Linked DNA regions of Coturnix japonica. The protein of the gene in region 1 purifies or fractionates together with the protein of each later gene. This does not show direct contact. Links are inferred from orthologs where the notes say so. Each region holds a gene or a part of one and is shown on either strand. Other genes may lie near its edges.

Region 1 (3,500 bases):
CAGCTGGGAGTGAGACCCAAGGAGAGACAGTGCGTGTGGGTGTGAGTATGAAATCGTGGATCAGACCCTAGCAGCATACACCAATCCCTAGGGAATAATTTTTCAAGTAGGGATGTCATCTAGTATGCTTGAAACAGGTGGAATGTTTTCTCTTGCTTTAGCAAGATCAAATAAACAAGAGATTCATTTGTTCTGATAAGCACTAACCTGCTGCAGACTCGGGTAGGGTTAGCTGGGTGGTGGGGTGGGAATGTTCTAAGCGTTAATTTACTTAAAAGTGAGAACTGCAAATTTGTTACAACATCAGCATGGCAGCGATCTCAAGCACCTACACAAAGCAATTGGTCCTTCTCAGTGAATTGCAGATTGCTTCATCATAGTGTTTTTGGTGTTGTGGAATTGGTTTTTTTTATTAATTTTTTTCTACGTTTAATTGTTGTTGTCTTAATAAAAACAGATGTTATCTTAAAACAAAAACCAAACCAATTGCACAAGGTTGTTCAGTGCAGGGCAGTTTACTTGTTTGATTATGTCTTCATTATTCTTCATGTTGCAAAGAAGACTGCCTCTGTACGATGCCTGTTGCCAAAAGAGCTAGGATCTCCATGCAGTCCCAAATTTGTGCACTGACCATCATTTCAGTAAAGAAAATCTGAGTTGCTCTTTTGAAAGCCTGTGTTCTCTCTGCATTTCATGGCTGCAGAGCAGGAATTGTTCCCAAGTGTGCACTCAACATTTATACAGCAAACTGAGCTCCCTTGGATAAAAAAGCTCTCAGTTATCAGTCAGTAAGCATGAATAAAAGTGATACTTAACTGCCAGATTAGTCATTCAGGCAAAGCCTGCTTTGCCAAAAACACTTTTACAGTACAAATTTAAAAGTTGGTGTCCGTCTTAAGAGAACTATGCTGTGTGCGTTCAGTGAACACTCAGCTGTTGGATCTTGATCCTGAGTCTGGATTTGGAATTATTCTGTCTGTATAGTGGGATATATACAAAGCTCCTAAATAAAATAAATAAATAAAATACACAACATGGAGAAACTGTGCACTTTGCAGACAAGTTTCATTTCCAGGATCCTTTTCCTAAATACTTACTTGAATTTTGTTTTTGTATTTCCACTACTCTCCACTTATGGTACTCATATTCTTTTTATTTTGATCTAGATGTGGGCAGAAGAAAAAGCTAGTCATTAATAATGGCAAAGGTGCAGTGGAGGACAGGAAGACAAGAGAATTAAATGGAGACGCCAGCAAATCACAAGAAATGGTGCACTTGGTTCACAAAGAACAGTCGAATGACCAAACAGGAGCATGTGATGAATTCCTCACCGTTGATGAAACACAGAATCATCAGGATGTTGACATGAAGAGTGGAGTGTAGCGGTATGAAGTCACCAAATAGATCAGTGTTGGGGAAATCAAAATCACACGGACCTTGGGCAGGAATTCACAGATGCACTGTGCTACTGATGTCGTTTGAACACGATTAAGCTTAAAATATTCTTCATTTTTAATTATTTTAGCATGATGTCCGAGTTACAAAATTGACATTTGCTTTCTGAAATAAGCCCCAAGTGTTGCAGTCAGTTCCCAATTTGCACATAGAGGGCGCTTTCTGGATCCTGGACATGTGGCATGCCATTGTTCCCCAGATGCAGTGCCTTCACTGTGCGGAGATACAGAAGCACCCAGTTGCTCCATGTTATAGGCATTTAAGGTACTAAGCTTGTCATGGTACAGCAGTAAGTGAGTAACAGATGTTAAAAGCCAAAATTGAAAAGACTTAAAACAGAAGTGCCTCCTATACTATGCCTAACCCAGCAGAATCCACCAGCAATGCCTACCAGCCAGGAAGAGTGCAAGGTGCATTCAAAGTCTGCCAGTAAAAGCAAAAATTAACGTTTTGTAATGATTGATGACTTGGTCTGTAACAAGTGAAACCCAGAAGGATAAAGTTTATTTATCTCTATTTTAAAATGTCTGTGGGCACGCAGCAGGATTTTTTGGGAGGGGAAACAAAGTGAGGAAAACGTGAGCTGATGCATAATAAACTTGTCTTCTTTGTTGTCTTAACAATCTGTACATATATCCTTGAGTTTCCAAGGTGTCCATGGCTCTTCCCCACCCCCTCCTTCACAGATCACAGTTCGTGTATGTTTTTTAAGAAGTCAGCTAGTAAAATTAATAAAGCAGTATGACCCTAGATCTATTGTGCGTGCACAAATCAAGCAATTGGAAGCCATCAGACATGACGACAGTATTTTTATTCCTGATGAATAGGTCTTTCTCTTCCCCTGCTCCATTTTTACTTAGGAGATGCTGAGCCCAAATCTTGTTTCTCCCATGATTGTTGTATTGCACCAGTTTGCCAGTATTTTGAAAGTTAGTTATATATGACATTGCTCACTTCTGATTTCTGTTTCATCCACTTTTTACTTCTTCTAGCCCAAAATGCCAAAAGAAAAACTTAGTTTATCGGTAAAAGAAGTTGAAATTTTACAGAATAGATCAATGAAATTTTAAGGAAACTCACCACCCAGTAATGTAATATAGTAAAATAGTTGCAGCTGCATCATCATGCTCTTCTGTTTTGTCCTTCTATGTCTGTTATGTGAAGTATTTGTATTAAGCTATGATGCTGCGCATTGTATTCATATGAACTGCCAGGAAGAAAATGATTTACTACCAGTGATCTGTGCCATCTTTAAGAAAGCATATTGGAGTGGAGAATAACTTCTAATTGGGCTGCCTCAGAAAAATGCAAGTAAAACCAACCAGAAGTGACTGCAAGCAGCAAGGTCTGTGTTGGCTGGGATGGGGAACGTTTGCTAAGAGATGTTCAGAGGTATCTGCTCCCTGACCACAGCACCTGCGCTGGAATTCACTTTGCTAATGTATGTTATTTGGTGTTCTCCATCTGAAGCAGTGCAGAGGATGAGTTTTCAGCTGGCTGCATAGTAACATTAACTAGCACTGGTCTTTACTATAACACCAAACAAAATGAAAATCATGATTGTGGTTCTAAGTTTACAGCCCTTCAGCAGTTTCCCAAGCATTCCATCGAGTGGCTTGGAGCCCTGGAATCTGCGGGCAGATCTCCTCAGGGAAAATGTGCACCTTGGCAAAAGGTCCCAAGATGAGGTGTGATTTCAGTGTACATATAGGATGCTTTCTGACTCTGTGTATGTCTCTTCTGTGAGCAGTCCAAGAGTGCTCACACAAGCCAAAGCCAATAAGGATAAGGCAATGTACGCTGTCAGTACATGAGGCCCACTGTCAAACCTCTGCCCAACCATAGTCACATATTTCAATACTGAGCTGTGCAAAGTCTGTTGACAGTCTGCATTGGGTTTTGTTTAATTCTTGTAAGGTTTTAAGGCAAGCTTTTCTATCTGTCATTATAAATGAAGATGATTGATTGAAGGCTGTGTTTAAACTGGTGTTACATACGTATTTCTCTAGGTGCGGAGATCCAGAATAAGAATTTTTCCTCTTCTT
Region 2 (3,500 bases), on another chromosome or scaffold:
CTTGGCTCCATCCCCACAGCCCCAGGGTTCATTGAACAGCCACGAGCTTCCCCTGCTGCCCCGTTCCCAGGCTCCCGGCTCTCCCCCTCCCCACATCATGACTCTGCCCTTGGGGCAGCTGAGCCCAGGGCAGCGTGGCAGAATGGTGCCCATCCCCTATTGGTGCCCATCCCCTATTTATGATGTACTGTCTGTGGGCCCAGCGCTGAATAAAGGATGGAGGTAAACGTGGCTCCTCTTCCCCTGTGTCCCTGCAGAGCATGGGGGGGATCCAGGCAATGAAAGCAGGATTAGGGCAGCTGCCCCATTCTTGGCTATCAGGGCTTTCCCTGCAGTGAGAGCAGCAGATGGAGGAGATGGGAGCAAACCACGCAGACAAAGTGGAGTAGAAAAAAAACCATCTACAATGATGAAATATACATCCAGGTGACACTGTCAGCTTAACGGGAACCCAGCAGGAGCCCAGGCAGCCCCGTGTCCACCTGCTCAGTGCAAGTCAATGTGTCCAGCGCTGCTGGGCGCCGGTGGGGAGGGGGCTGGGGGCACAGGGGTGGTGGGGGGCTCTGGGACAGCAGCAGCGTGGTCCAGGTGTATCCAGGGTGTATACAGGTGTATATAGGTGTATGGTGATGGGGAGCAGGGTGATGGGGCTCCCGGTCCTGTTGATGCTGCTCTTCTTCCTCCAGGAACCGTGTGGGGTTGGAGCATCCATCTCAGTGGGGCTTTGGGGCTCCTTTTGGGGGTCCTCTGTGCCCCCCCCTGTGCTGCTGCGCCGTCTCACAGTGCTCTATGCTCTCCTGCAGTATAGGGCACCCCCATGATTGGGGACAGTCCTGCCCCCACATCCATCGCCGGCCTCGTGCCGTCCCTCCCCAAGCTGCCTCGGTGAAAGGGGGGGGTCCGTATGTGGCCCTGCCCTACACAGCCACGTCCTCAGGCTCAGCCAAACCCAGGTACTCCGGGTTCTCAGCTGCTGGCGTGGAGCTGGGCCCACCCTCAGGGCTCCCAGCTTTGGGGGGGTCCTGGTTCCAGTAGTAGGGGTTGTCGAAGGCCTGGCTGAAGGCTGTGGGGACCGGCAGCCCCGGGGGGGCCAGGTACTCGGGGTTCTCCACGGCGTGGCCAAAGGGCCCCAGGAAGGGATGCTTGGTGTCCTTGATGAGCCCGTTCTTGCCTTGGTGGCCCTTGGGCTTGTCTGGTGGGGATGGTGGTGCACAGGGGAGCCGGGGGGGTGACGGCAGCTCCCCAGCCTGATTCACGTACTCTGCAGGGAAAAGGGATGTCAGCAGCCAAACAGGGTCCTTGCCCCCCTCCCCAGGGTCCTATATTGCCCTACCTGGCATAGTGGTATGTGGGGCTGGGGTGGTGAAGCCCTCAGGGTCCAGACCTTCACTCTCATCCCCCGGCAGCGCGGTGGGGTCCTCACTGTACCGTGTGGCTGGGGGGCTCGGCAGGGCTCCCTTGGCCCCAACATCCACCTCCAGAGCCTCCGACACGGGGCACTCTGACCCCTCCACCAGGTTCTGCGGTGGGAAGGGGAAGGCGGCTGATTCCTCCCCCTCTGTCGTGTCAGCTGGGGTCTCTGCTGTGCTCTGAGGAGGCAAAGGGCACGGAGTCGGGCACGGTGCTGTGGGGTCTATAGGGTCTGTGGGTGGCATTAGAGAACTTGCACCCTGTGCGCCCTGCAGCAGCACGATGCCCCAGGTCAGCCCTTACCCGCGTGGAGGAGATACGGCTGCGGTACGCGGTGGAGGTCTCAGCACTGAAGAAGCCCTGGTGAGGGACCAGGTATTCCTCAGCATCCACCAGGTCGTCCATGTCCTCCTCCTCCAGCAGCGCCCGGTAGAAGGTGCTGTCCATGTTGCTGGGCAGCCCGATCATGTCGTTCTGGGGGTCAGGGGGGGCTGTCAGTGCCCGTTGGGGCAATGCTGAAGGCGAGACCCCCCTGAGACCCCATTACCTGGATGACCACAAAGCGCTGGGGGTCGCGGGCCATGCGGGAGAACTCGGTGACCAGCTCACGGAACTTGGGCCGGCACTCGGAGTCGATCATCCAGCCTGGGGCAGAGCCGAGCACCGTGAGGGCGGCGTTGGGGTCCTGGCCCCCACGTCCCCATGTCCCCCCCACTCACATTTCACCATGATCATATAGACATCGATGGTACAGATGGGCGGCTGCGGCAGCCGCTCGCCTTTCTCCAGCAGGTCGGGGATCTCTCGTGCCGGGATCCCATCGTAAGGTTTCGCCCCGAAGGTCATCAGCTCCCACACGGTGACACCTGAGGACATGGGGATGTGGGGTAAGTGCTGGTTTGGGACCCCCTGCCCCCCACAGCCACCATAGGGACGCACCGTAGCTCCAGACATCGCTCTGGTGGGTGAAGCGCCGGCGCAGGATGGACTCCAACGCCATCCACTTGATGGGGACCTGGGTGGGTGGGAGGAGTGAGCGGGACCCTCAGGGGACACCGCGCTCCCTGTTGCCCCGTCCCCATGTCCCACCTTGCCCCCATCTGCGTGGTACTCGGTCTCATCGATATCCAGCAGCCGTGCCAGCCCGAAGTCGGTGATTTTGACATGGTTGGGGCTCTTGACCAGGACGTTGCGAGCAGCCAGGTCACGGTGCACCAGCCTCACCTCCTCCAGGTAGCTCATCCCCTGGGCAGCAGGCGTTAAGCCCCACATCTACATCCCCCCCACAGCCCCTCAGCAGCCCCCTCTCTTACCTTGGCGATCTGCACACACCAGTTGAGCAGGTCCTGGGATCCGATGCGGTCTTTGTTCTCCCTCACATAGTCCAACAAGCAGCCGTAGGGCATCAGCTGCGTCACCAGCTGCACCGTGGAGGTCAGGCAGATGCCCAGCAGCCTCGACACGTAGGGGCTGCCCACCCCGGCCATCACATAGGCTTCCTGCAGGCAGCACAGATAGGTCAGGTTGGCACCGACTCCCCAGCCCCGTGCCCACCTCCCCTGCACTCACATCCAGGATCTCCTTGTTGGCTTTGGGTGATGTGTTCTCCCGCAACACCTTGATGGCCACCGGGATCTTCACGCTCTCCCCATCGGGGATCCAGATGCCCTATGGGGGGTGGGGGGGCGGTGAGTGAGGACACAGATGGTGCCATCCCACTGACTGTGCCTCCCACCCCTCACCTTATAGACAGTGCCGAAAGCGCCGGAGCCCAAAACCTTCACTTTCTTCAGCTCCGTCTCCTTGAGGATGCGCATCTGTGCTTGGTTGGGGAGGGCCCCGCTGGGCGTCAGCGGCTCCACCAGCTGCGAGGGACAAGTGGGTGAGGAGGGACAACACTCTGAGCCCCCCCCAGGGTCATCCAGCCCCCCCACCTCAGTCTCCTGCAGCAGCCGCCTCATGGTGTGTTTCCTCTCCTGCTGCCGCCGGCGCTTGACGCAGACGACGGTGATGAGCAGAAGGACGACGACCAGCAGAGCCCCCACCACACCAGCAATGATGGATGTCACCTGGCTGCAGGACGGGAGGTG
Region 3 (3,500 bases), on another chromosome or scaffold:
AGCCCTGCCTGCAGGATGGGCCGGTGCGGGGAGCGCTCTGCAGGGATGGAGGGATGGGGACCTCAGCACGAGCAACCCACATCCACAGGGGTCTCATCCCAAAGGGGTCTCATCCCACAGCCCCACAGAGCCAGGTGACATCCCAGCACAGGGACATTGCTATCTATTCAAGGGCCAGAGGTCAAACAAACCTAATGAGGGCCCCAGCCGCTGCCACTGTGGTGAGTCAGCATTAACAAACCCCTTTGTTCACCTCGCTGACTGTTCCCTTCAGTTTGCTCAGTGTAATCAAATTAAATCACATTCTTAATGGTTCATTTACTGGCATTTAGAGCAACTCCACATGTGGAACTGCTCAGACCAGCCTTCCCAGCTGGGAATTATGGCTAATAAGGCGATTAGAAAAAGTTTCTGTCTGGTCTATGAAATTACTTCCATCACAATTAAAAAGCCCCAGAAGGGTTCGAGGTGAACCTCGTGGGCGCAGCACCCACTGCTGTGTGGGAGGCAGAGCAGCCCCAGCACCATCCTCACCCACAACATCCAGCTGGTAGGTGTGGTTGATGCTCCCATATTTGTTCTCCACGATGCACGTGTAGTTGCCCTTATCTGATGGCACCACCGAGTCCATGATGATGCTCCACGTGGCATAGCGGACCTGGGGCAAAAGGATGGGGGTGGTGGGTGAGATGTGTGCACATCAGAGCATCTCAGCCCATTGGCACAGCATAAATCTTTTCATGGTCAACTTTCCCCTCTCCTACAGAGGGACCATAATTGCTCCCACCTGTCCCAGGAGCACCACCCTGAGTGGCACAAAGGGAACAGCACCCACATCCATGTTCTGATGGCACGCTGGCAATGCCCAAAGCCTTGAGCTTCCATCCCATTCTCCACCAGGGCTCTGCACACAGATGGGGAGCACCAGCACCCTGCTGCCCTGGGGGGCACATTGAGCCCAAACACTCCAGGCTGCACCAAGGCTCTGTAAGCAGAGCAGCTCTTCTTCATCCTCCTTCTCCCACAGTGCAGTGCTGGATGTGGGAGTTGTGCGGTGCTCCCAGGGCTGCCCCGACCATCCTGGCTCAGCTCTGGGATTAGTGCAGCCAGGCTGGGCTCATCCCCCTCCCCTCCCCCAAAGGTTAAGGCTGCTGCAAACATGACCAAGAAGCAGGTCACTGCCGTGGGTCTATTTTGCAACAGGAATGTCAGGGGGCCCATCTGCCCTTCCAGAGGCACGCGGCTGCACCAATGGGCGGCTCGGGGCCTCTGAAACCCATTCATTTCCCCTCCTCCCACATTGACCCCCAGGCATTGACCACACGGATTGACCACTCTGTACCTTGTACCCCCCAATGCGGTGGTCAGGTTTGAACTCCTTGCCATTCTTCAGCCAGCGCAGTGTGGGGTTGGGCGTCCCACCTGAGGGGCACTTGAATTTCACTGTTTTGGCAGCAGGGACGGCATGCAGCTTCTTCTCCATCTTCTCGGGATAGGTCCAGTAAGGAGCTACAGCCTCTGCAGGGCACAAAGCAGCAGGATCAGCCACAGGGAGCACTGATGTTTGCTCATGGTTAACATAGGGCAGGACTGGGGTGAGGCGCACATATCCCTGGTACATCCCCACACCCCAACCAGGCTCCACCAGGGCTGCAGCAGGACTCTGCCTCTCCTCTCCTGTCTCTCAGCCCCTGGATGCCGCTCACATGCACACCTGGCTTCCCTTCACCCCCACCCATAGGCAAACCCAACCCACACGTACGGTTTGGCTTGGTGTTATCTGCCTCCTTCTCCTCCGAGGAGGAATCGTCTTCATCATCATCATCCTCTGCAGAAGGGAGCGCATCTACAAGAGAAGAGACCCCCAGCTCATAACATTGCACAGACCCCTCCTGTTCTCCTGTGCACCGTGCTGACACATGGCATGAGGCCCTGAGAGAACACTGCATGGCTGGAGCACAGAGCTCAGGGAGCAGTTTGCCCCCAAGGCTGACTTTGGGCACAGGAAAGCAGTGCCCACACTGTGCTGCCAGGCACATCGGGACACCCATCCATCCGGGGTCCTGCAAACAGAGGAAGCCCCGACCCTCAGTCAGCCCTCATTCCTCACCACTGTGCTTCAGATCCACCAAAGAAAACCTCAGCTCCAGCTCACCCGGTGCTCAGTTCCATGCAGACTCACATGTCCCCACACATGCATTGCCACCGTGGAAGAACACTCATGGACTCAATGGGTGCAGAGGGTGCTGGCCACCAACTGTGCAGCTCTGAGCAGAAAACCCAGCAATGCTGACCCCGCTGCAGTGCTTTGTGTTGATACATCCCCACGCTGAGCCATTAGGGCACAACCACCCCATATTGCACAAAGTTGGTGGCGCATCCCATGCGTGCAGGGCTGCACCCCACTGAGCTTGGCAGCCAGCATGCAAGGCGTGCACACAGGCACACTGCTCCTCGGTGCTGCCCCCCTGGCACCGCTACGAACCTGAGACGTTGACGGAGAAGTAGGTGGTCTCACTCCCTGAGGGGCTGTTGGTCATGCAGGCATAGAGCCCTGAGTCCTCGGGCACCGCATCCCGCACCTCTACCTCCTCTCCAGTGATGCGCGTGCGGTTGTTCTCAGGCAGCTGAACTCCATCACGCACCCAGTTGATGCTCTGCACGTCATCGCGCAGCCGGCAGCGCAGCTGGAGGAGGTCGCCAGGGTGAGCAGAGTGGGATTCCACCTCGATGTTGGCTTTGGGCAGAGCTGGAGGAGTTTGGGAGAGAGGAAGAAAAGGAGAAAAAAAAGAAAAGAAATAGAGACAACGGGACACCAGGCTGCTGAGGGCTGGGTTAATCAGGCAACATGCGCTGCGGGATATTGGCTGAGGGACAGGGGTGGACCCTGAGCACAGCCACACTGAAAGCAACCAAAGCAGCCCCAAGGCACAGCCGTGGAGCCCAAAGCTACGCAAGCGCCTTCAGTCTCCTGCCAAGCGCTGCAGAAGGGGGTTGAGATGGGGAGGAATTTGCAACCTGAGGCACACTGGGCAGAGCTGGCAGCAGGGCAGGATGAGGAGCACCAAACCCTGCACGGCTCGACCCCAGGGTCTCCCTGCCCAGCAGCAGACAGCCAGCAAAGCAGGCCGGGACCCCCTGGCTCAGCACCAGGCGGTTACAGGGCTATGCTGGGGCAGCAGGCAGAGAGCAGGGCTCAGTGACAGTGCTGGAAGCTCAGCCTGGGGGCTGCAGACAGGTGGGGGCTGTCGGGTGCTCCCTGCCCGTAGCCATCCTGCGACGTCCTTCCATCAGCACAATGATCCAATCCATCCCAGCACTGTTCTCTCCTGGTCATCGATGTTGTTTTCTCCTCACCCTGCGGTGCTGCATGAGGATCCTGCACTGGGTGCAACCATCTGGGTTCCCAGCAATCCCTCCCAGTGCTCACACTCAGCCTGGTGCACTGTCTGCCCTCCTTCCTGTGTCAGCTCTGCTCGCACACCTCTGCTGCTATCTCC

Evidence for each region. Proteins that work in one complex are often made in the same cells at the same time.
Region 2: the proteins of CD44 (region 1) and ERBB2 purify together in Homo sapiens (affinity purification with western blotting; 3 studies listed by BioGRID and IntAct, with this or other methods). This does not show direct contact. The link is inferred for Coturnix japonica from reciprocal best matches to the Homo sapiens genes CD44 and ERBB2.
Region 3: the proteins of CD44 (region 1) and FGFR1 purify together in Homo sapiens (affinity purification with mass spectrometry; 3 studies listed by BioGRID and IntAct, counting the BioPlex papers as one, with this or other methods). This does not show direct contact. The link is inferred for Coturnix japonica from reciprocal best matches to the Homo sapiens genes CD44 and FGFR1.

Annotation. Positions count from the first base shown.
Region 1 is NC_029520.1:5,850,668-5,854,167, reverse strand, and holds part of CD44 (CD44 antigen), read left to right. Parts: intron 1-1,166; coding exon 1,167-1,383; 3' UTR 1,384-3,500. UniProt on the Homo sapiens protein: Cell-surface receptor that plays a role in cell-cell interactions, cell adhesion and migration, helping them to sense and respond to changes in the tissue microenvironment.
Region 2 is NC_029542.1:3,928,568-3,932,067, reverse strand, and holds the end of ERBB2 (receptor tyrosine-protein kinase erbB-2), read right to left. Parts: intron 3,484-3,500; coding exon 3,345-3,483; intron 3,276-3,344; coding exon 3,153-3,275; intron 3,079-3,152; coding exon 2,980-3,078; intron 2,910-2,979; coding exon 2,724-2,909; intron 2,656-2,723; coding exon 2,500-2,655; intron 2,426-2,499; coding exon 2,350-2,425; intron 2,277-2,349; coding exon 2,130-2,276; intron 2,056-2,129; coding exon 1,958-2,055; intron 1,885-1,957; coding exon 1,714-1,884; intron 1,590-1,713; coding exon 1,334-1,589; intron 1,262-1,333; coding exon 918-1,261; 3' UTR 382-917; downstream 1-381. UniProt on the Homo sapiens protein: Protein tyrosine kinase that is part of several cell surface receptor complexes, but that apparently needs a coreceptor for ligand binding. Essential component of a neuregulin-receptor complex, although neuregulins do not interact with it alone.
Region 3 is NC_029537.1:3,713,989-3,717,488, forward strand, and holds part of FGFR1 (fibroblast growth factor receptor 1), read right to left. Parts: intron 2,750-3,500; coding exon 2,486-2,749; intron 1,847-2,485; coding exon 1,763-1,846; intron 1,519-1,762; coding exon 1,343-1,518; intron 659-1,342; coding exon 535-658; intron 38-534; coding exon 1-37. UniProt on the Homo sapiens protein: Tyrosine-protein kinase that acts as a cell-surface receptor for fibroblast growth factors and plays an essential role in the regulation of embryonic development, cell proliferation, differentiation and migration.